Linked DNA regions of Oryzias latipes. The protein of the gene in region 1 interacts with the protein of each later gene in a biochemical or structural test. Links are inferred from orthologs where the notes say so. Each region holds a gene or a part of one and is shown in the gene's direction. Other genes may lie near its edges.

Region 1 (3,647 bases):
AGAGATTCTCCTTCCAGTCTGTGGAAGACGTACCCCCCCCCCCCCCCCCACACACACACACACACACACCCACCCCCATTCAGTTGAATCAGAACAAAATTTCAGTTCCACCAAAGTTCCTGGAACCTGAAGCAGTGAAGAACCTCCCCAGCCAGGTTACAGGTTAAAGAACACAAGGAGGACTCTAAGCAGAAGGTCAGGCCTCACTGGACTCAGTTCAGGTCAGAGTTGATGTGTTTTAGGACCAACGTGGATCCGTAAAGTTGAAGGAGGAAGGAGGAACACAGAGGGACATCCGGACTGACATCCAAATATCTGGAGTCAATCCAAACACACTTTAGCCATGGTGGTGGCATTGTGATGGTGTGTTACTGCGCTCTATTAGAAAATCCTAAAGCAGAATTCCCTCCGTCGTTTTATAAGTTTTGGGTTAGCAGAACAATAATCTGAACTCTTAACGTTAGACTTGAAGGTCCGGTCTGAATAATCTTAAAGTTCCACTCTCATCATCCTCTGATCTTTTTTCTTTTTACCCCTGTTCTGCTGTTTTCAGCCTAAATCAAAAAACCTGTTGTTTTCTAGGACATAGTTTCTGCAGAGCGGCAGGAGTTCAAATTCACCTTTAAGCTGTGACTGTTGGCACAGAACAACTCCGCCCCCCTTCCTCTCCACGTTCTCTCCAAAAGGACGTTTTTTTTATCTGAGCGGATCTTTAAACGGTTTTATTGAAAAAGCTGAAAGTTTTATCTCCAGAAACTGACCTGCAGTTTTACAAACATGGAAGTTGAAACAGTCATTCAGTTTAGGGGGCTGTCAGGTAACATTTTCACCTAAAACAAAAAATATTCATGAAGGTGATTAAAAAGTGGTTAATCTTTTCAATCATTTCACATTAGAATTAATTAAAAAACAGAATAAAATGTAACCCTAAATATCAGCGAACCAACATAGAAACCTCTGAAACCACATTTTTCCTTTTGATTTTATATTTATAGATGGAAATATTCCGTATTTGGTTCATAAAGTTGTGGTGTTTTTTGTTGCTGTTCTGTTTTCTGATGATTATTGAAATGAACAGAGTCTCATCTTCTGGATGACTTTAGTGATGATGCTGCTGCTCTCAGGAGCATGGCGTCACGGTTTCAGACGCCGTTTGTTTTGGTTTCTGTTTTTAACCTTCCGGAGCGTCCGGATTGATGAGCGCCGCCTGAAAAAACGCAGTTTAATTGATTTTTAAGCTCCAGATCAAACGCTCAAAGCCGTCGTAAATAAACCGAGGCGGCTGAAAGAGGGAGCAGCTCTGCGTGCCGGAGTGAGGTCACGGCGTTCAGGAATGCTGAGGGAGCAGGGCGGGGTCGCTCCTACAGGTGCGTCCGGCTGAGCTCATCCTTCTTCCGCCCCCTCGAGCTGTTGACGTGGAATGCGGAAAGAAAGCGTGACGAGCTGATCCGCGGCCTCCGGAAGCTGGAGCGGAACTGCGGACGCCAAAAATATCAAAGTGACCTTCCAAAGTCCGGGTTCTGAGCTTTTTTTGGAGGCGTCTCTGTTCAGAGCCGGAGGTTGGACCTCCGGCGGCAGAGAAGGTTCTTCGGAGCCGAACAGCGGCGCCGTTTTTTCCCATCAGCTTGTTGGATCACATTCTACAGCAGTACCTGATCTGCAGCTCCTGCCCCTCGTTTGCTCCATGAAGCTGAGGTTCTTCATCACCTCCTGAGTCCAAACGTGGAAGTCATCAAAGAGGAATGAAACCTGAAGAACGACGCCCCTTTTTTTGTGTGTGTTTTCCCTAAGGTTTGGCGGCAGAGAAGGACGGCCGCTCCAGCGCCATGAGCGAGGGCGAGGGTCTGGACGAGGAAGACGACGACGATGAGGAGGAGGGTGGTGCTGAGACGGAGGAGCAGTCGGGAAATGAGAGTGAAATGAACGAGCAGGAGGAGGACGTGAGTTCCTGCGCTCCTCAGATGTTCGCCGCCCTACCGGTCACTCTGGACTCTGAGACGCTGAATTCATCTCCAGAAATATAGTTTTTAAATCATCATCACATCGGGAGAAACCACCAAAGAAAACGATTGGTTAACAAATCAAAGAAAGTTGGTCAAAATTGAAGAATGAAACCAAAACACACGTGTCGAGGATATCCAAAGGAAAGTTAAAAATTATTATGGGATGGCCACTACGGCATCACGGCCACTTTGTGGCAAAGTGTGAAATTTGACGATTTTTCACACAATATGGGAAGAGAAAACTTCCCACTCCCCAAATCGCACCCATACACTGTAAGTCTACAGCCACAACTGAAGTTTTGTTGACCTTTGACCTCGCCATGGTGAAATTTCCAGAAAAATTACCGTCTCCAACTCCACCTAGGGATTTCTTTCGCCTCCGAACTCCTCGAGAATCCGCCTTTAAAAAGTCTCATCGATCACAGTTTGGTAATAAATTAGGAAACGTTCATTTTTATGCTCAAAGATAAAAAAGTAAAAACAGTCATCAGTAAAGAAAATGTATCTATATATCATTATATGATCATTTCTATATGTAGTTGAGTGATTTGGTGTCAGATGTTTTCACTGATGGGCTGAAAAAGGCTGGAGAAGAGCTGCTGGTGCAGAGTCACGCTCTTAATGTGAAGAATTCGTTTTCAAGTTTCTCTTTGTTTTTGACGTGAAGGCAGGTGTTTTCCAGAGCCGACGGCTGCGACAGTGTTTGCTTTTCTTCAAGGTATTTTTCTGAGTAAAACACCAGGAAGGAGCCAAAGTCCAGCGATGCTCGCACGTTCAGCTGAGGGAACTGCTGCTGTGTTCATTAACTTTGCTCGTTCTTTTATCTCCAGTGTTGAATGAAAGCTTCATTCTCCGCTTTAAGCGCTTTGAAGTATTTATTTTAGTGACAGCAGGAAATCAAAGGAGGTGCATCAGAGTTTGATTTCAGATGAAAATCATTCCTCCTGTGTTTCTTTTTCACTGTTTTTCATCACAGGAAGGGTCAGAAAATGAGGAGGAGGAGGAGCATGAGGAGGAGGAAGAGGAGAACACAGACTATCTGACCGACTCCAATAAAGAAAATGAGACTGATGAGGAGAACAATGTAAGAGGGGTCCAGTTTCCGAGCAGCCGTGAAGCTGCAGAGCCGCCTCTCACTTTGACTCGTCAGCAGGAAGTGACCATCCGTGGCGGCGGGCTGAAGCACGTGGCGTGCGCTGAAGATGAGGACTTCATTCAGGCTCTGGATAAGATGATGCTGGAGAACCTGCAGGTAAGCCTGGATTGCACTCCTAAAACAGCGCCGCAGGGAACCGGCGACGTTGACGAGATTCCTCTATTTTGACGCCACAGCAGCGCAGCGGGGAGGCGGTGAAGGTGCACCAGCTGGACGTGGCCATCCCGCTGCAGCTGAAGAGTCAGCTGAAGAAGAGCGGATCTGGACAGCAGTGCATCATGGAGGGAGACTCGGAGGGCTCGGACACCATGCAGTTCGTCATGCTGACGCGCAAAGGCAACAAGCAGCAGGTAAAGGTTTGGCTCCAGACCCACATTCTACACTCCAGTCGGTTCCCTGGTTGCTTTTCATCCCTTCAGCTTTTTCTGACTGATTTACCGTAGTAAACAGGAGATAACATTGTTTCCAAATGTGGATGGACACATCTA
Region 2 (4,376 bases), on another chromosome or scaffold:
TTTGTGTTCAGAACACCAAGTTATGGCCATAAAATGCTAATATTTGTGCACTAACTACTAAATTGTGGCATCAGAGTGCTTATTGGTGTGCACAAAATACCAAATTATGGCCACAAAATGTAAATTTGTGTGCAAAAACACCAAATTGTGGCCCCAGAATTCTAATTTGTGTGCACAATATACTAAATTGTGGCATCAGAATGCAAATTTGTGTTCAGAACACCAAATTGTGGCCATAAAATGCTAATATTTGTGCACTTACTACTAATTTGTGGCATCAGAGTGCTTATTGGTGTGCACAAAATACCAAATTGTGGCCACAAAATGTAAATTTGTGTGCAAAACACTAAATTGTGGCCATAAAATGCAAATTTGTGTGCACAAAATACTAAATTGTGTCCGCAAATGCAAATTCGTGTGCATTCATTCATCTTCCATTTTGACCCTTTCGGGGTCACAGGGCTCCCGGAGCCTATCCCGCCAACTTGTGGGTGAAGGCAGGGGACCCCCTGGACAGCTCGCCAGTCTGTCGCAATTTGTGTGCAAAAAAATCCAAAATTGTGGTCATAAAATGCTCATTTGTGTGCACAAAATACCAAATTGTGGCCATAAAATGCAAATTTGTGTGCACAAAATACTAAATTGTGTCCGCAGAATCCATGTACCCTTTCGGGGTCACAGGGCTGCCTTAGCAATTTGTGGGAACCATTGAGCTTTTTGTGCGCTCAAATTAACTCCTGAGACTGAGGCTAACTTCTTGTCTGTTTAGAAGAGTCCTCTGTCTTCCATGTGAGGGGAGGAGAGACTTCTGCTTGAAGGGGCAACATCCCACCATCCTTTCCTGACTGTCTTTCCACCACTAGATCTAAGAGTGTTTGTTTCTGGAGGAGGGATGGGTTGTACTCCGTCCAAGTCCACAGGTATTTGCACTAATGAGCGGGTCTGCAGGGATCTGGACACCTGCTCCACGCTCCTCTCCAGCAGCCTGAGGAGCTCCGTTTCCACACCGGAGAGACCCCGAGTGCGCGCCGAGAACAGCAGCGGGAAGCAGGCGTTTTTAAATGGTGAGACTGATAAAAAATAATTAAAAAAAATTGTCAAATAAATGTTTTCGTCAAAACAAAAATATCTCTACCAGTTTGTAATCAATATTCCTGTCCCATATGAAACTTTAACAAATATGTGGTTTCTCCATTTTGGTTCTGTTTTCTCTAGTTCCCTCTCGAGATGTTCAGGGGTTGTCAGTGATTCGGTCCTCCAGCTTTGAGGGAAGCGCAGTTTCCAGTAATCCGATCACAAGCGATGGCGAACGGATCGCGTAGATCATCATCCCAGCTGCGCGGTAAGAAGAGGGAGCATATGGAGATGAACAGCGTTTATGTCAAAATATGTATTGAATTATTGTTTGCCTTTTTCTTCTACTCGTTACAAAATAAGTGTTAATGAAGGTCACACATAACATCATTATGTAACTAAAGTACTCAAATATATGTTTTCATTAAACATAACACCCGCATCCAACATCGATCTACGCGTACTCTCGCGATAACTTTCGTGAGTTATCGCGAGCACACAGCTCGTAGGAGATGTAGAGAAATGAGGTCTGAAAAGGACCAAATGGCCGTGGACACGGAGAAAAGTGTCGAAATACAATTTAAGGACATTCCAAGAGAGCAGGAGAGCCCAGGTTGCCATCTCAAACAAAAAGAAGAGAAGAAGGAGGTCTTTTCAAAGGTGAGTGAAGCAGCGTTTTGGTACGCGCCGTATTGTTTACTCTTGATGAAGACAACAGACATGGAGGAAGTGGCTGATCATTTCAGCACCGAGGACAGCGAAAAAGACTGTAAATGCACGATTTTCAATCATTTCCACTATGTTTAGCAAATATTTCATCTTTACCTCACAACAATGTCACATTATGTGGCTCCATATCTTTTAAAAATGAAAGACGGAACAAACAGTGGGAGTCAGCAGCCTTTAATACCAAAAGAGCCATTTGGGCTTTTTCTCACGGATTACCTAAAGTCTTTTTTACCCTTTCACATATTTTGACACTGCTCTGCATTCGTATCGTTGTTACTGTTGAAATATGTTGAAATTGTATTTATCCACTTATTTATTTGGCTTGACTAAAATTAAAAGCTGTCAGAGAAAAATTATTGGAAAAAAATGAAATTGTTTTTTTGTTTTTATTTTGATGAAGAATTGCATGTCTTTCTTTTAAATAAAATATATTCTAATAGGGTCATTCCTGTGTCGCTAGTACACTCCTATCAAATTTTAAAACAATGAGTCAATAAAGGCATTTTCTCTTGTTATAACCTAGGTCTTCCTTGGTGGGCACCTTTTCCCTATAACTCCTATTACTGCTGCTGACATATATATATATATATGTGTGTGTGTGTGTGTGTGTATGTGTGTGTGCGTGCGTGAACATGACTTTATTATTTTATGATGCAATAGACAAAATATAGAATCACAGGTACTGGACCTGTGATTTTATAAAACCTAACAAATTTAAATAAATCAAACAGACAAACCCTCACTTTAGGATGTAATTACTATCATTTTATTTGTCTTTAGCCAGCGAGCTACTATGAAAGGTAAAAGACCCACATGTGGGTCTGGAGCTTTAAGTTGCAGACCCCTATTTTAACTATTTCATAATGCTTTCTGAACCCATGTCAATAAATTTAACCTGCTTTGTTTAAAAACAACTGCACTCATTTTTAAGTGGCAGCAGTAATAAAACAGGCCGACGAGGACATGTTTCTATTATTCTTTTGGCACAGTAGACTGTTTTCAGGAATTGAATATTTAAAATGTGGAAACAAACAAGGGTGAGAAATCAGTAAAATAACTTAAAAGATCTTTCCATGTCACTCAAAACATCTTTTTTTTATTTTTTGGTTATTTAATTTTCTGCATATCCTGTTGCACTTCAGGATTTGTTGTCTGTTGACTGTTGCCCATTTTGATGCTGTTATATAGTAGGATAAACATATTTTGAAAACTAGCCAAATACATTTTTAAAAGTATCATACAGAAATACTTTTGTTGTAGCTTTAACTACATTTAAAATAATTGTGTATTCCATGTCATATCCTGCATCTTTCTTTTACAGGTTCCAGTATTTAGTTTTATTAGTCTGCTTAAATGAGTCGGTAATGATTTGAAAAAAATGTTTGAACTTGTCAAGCTTTTGGTCAGGACTGATAGTTTTTTTTTTTTTTTTAAATAAAGTTAATTCTGAAAGTTTGTGGAGAGACTTTACACTCATTGAGAACAGCAGTTAATAACCTTGGAGTAACTGGTTGTACACAGGTTGTGATCAGAAGACTGCCACCTAACCTTTCAAAAGAACAGCTTGAAGAACAACTAAGTCCGCTCCCATCGTATGATTACTTTGAGTTCTTCTCAGCAGATCAAAGGTGTGTTGTGATTTATTACTTGTTTGAAAAACTACTCATTTTTTCAATAAATATGTTTTATATTCTTAATTTTATTTTTTTCCTTCTTTTTTTATTGCAGTCTGTATCCCCACCTTTTTTCAAGAGCATATATCAATTTTAAAAACACTGAGGATATCGTGTTGTTCAGGGATCGATTTGACGGCTACGTCTTTATCGACAACAAAGGTATTGGTTCAAATTTCTTTGACTTTGTTTATAATAACTACAAATAACAAAACACAAACTGTAATATTCTCTGTAGGCACATTTATGGCCTTTAAGTTAAACTATTAACTTGATTATCTGCTAAATAACAAATTAAAAAAAAAAATTTTTAGGTCAAGAATATCCTGCAGTGGTGGAGTTTGCCCCCTTTCAGAAGATTTCCAAGAAAAAACTGAAAAAGAAGGATGCCAAAACTGGAAGCATTGAAGAAGGTACTAAAATGTTCTTGTGAATTTAGCTATTTCTAATATGTTCTTGCTAATTGCTGCATATAAATACGTCTGTGTGAGTTTTTTATATTTAAGACAAATATATTGTTGCTAAAGTAAGAAATCTAAAATGTGAATGTTTTTCTTTAAAAAAAATGTAAACTAAGAGCAATATATATTTGTTTTTGAGTGATGGAAGACCAAAAAGTACAAATTTTGCTCAAGTATGTCCGTCTTTCAGTCTCACCTTCCATTGTTGAAAATTCCTTTCTGATGCAGATATGCATCTAAAATACATTTCCTGATTTATGAGTTTAGTAAATCCATCATCCAAATGAAGCATTGTTGCCAGGTCTCTTTAGCTAGCATGTTTTTCCCCACAATGCGAGTTTTCACACTCCAAGAAAACACATAGTCTCCAGGAAAAAAAAAAAAAACTGTAGTACACATCAGAAATAAAAGCACAAAAATATTTATCATTGTTTGATGT

Evidence for each region. The genes of interacting proteins can lie anywhere in the genome.
Region 2: the proteins of upf2 (region 1) and regulator of nonsense transcripts 3A form a complex in vitro, tested with the Homo sapiens proteins (2 studies listed by IntAct, with this or other methods). The link is inferred for Oryzias latipes from reciprocal best matches to the Homo sapiens genes UPF2 and UPF3A.

What each region holds. Positions count from the first base shown.
Region 1 is NC_019881.2:22,253,110-22,256,756, forward strand, and holds part of upf2 (regulator of nonsense transcripts 2), read left to right. Parts: intron 1-1,791; coding exon 1,792-1,940; intron 1,941-2,979; coding exon 2,980-3,087; intron 3,088-3,153; coding exon 3,154-3,255; intron 3,256-3,335; coding exon 3,336-3,509; intron 3,510-3,647. UniProt on the Homo sapiens protein: Involved in nonsense-mediated decay (NMD) of mRNAs containing premature stop codons by associating with the nuclear exon junction complex (EJC).
Region 2 is NC_019879.2:7,277,931-7,282,306, reverse strand, and holds the start of regulator of nonsense transcripts 3A, read left to right. Parts: upstream 1-1,547; 5' UTR 1,548-1,596; coding exon 1,597-1,734; intron 1,735-3,324; coding exon 3,325-3,431; intron 3,432-3,531; coding exon 3,532-3,638; intron 3,639-3,790; coding exon 3,791-3,889; intron 3,890-4,376. UniProt on the Homo sapiens protein: Involved in nonsense-mediated decay (NMD) of mRNAs containing premature stop codons by associating with the nuclear exon junction complex (EJC) and serving as link between the EJC core and NMD machinery.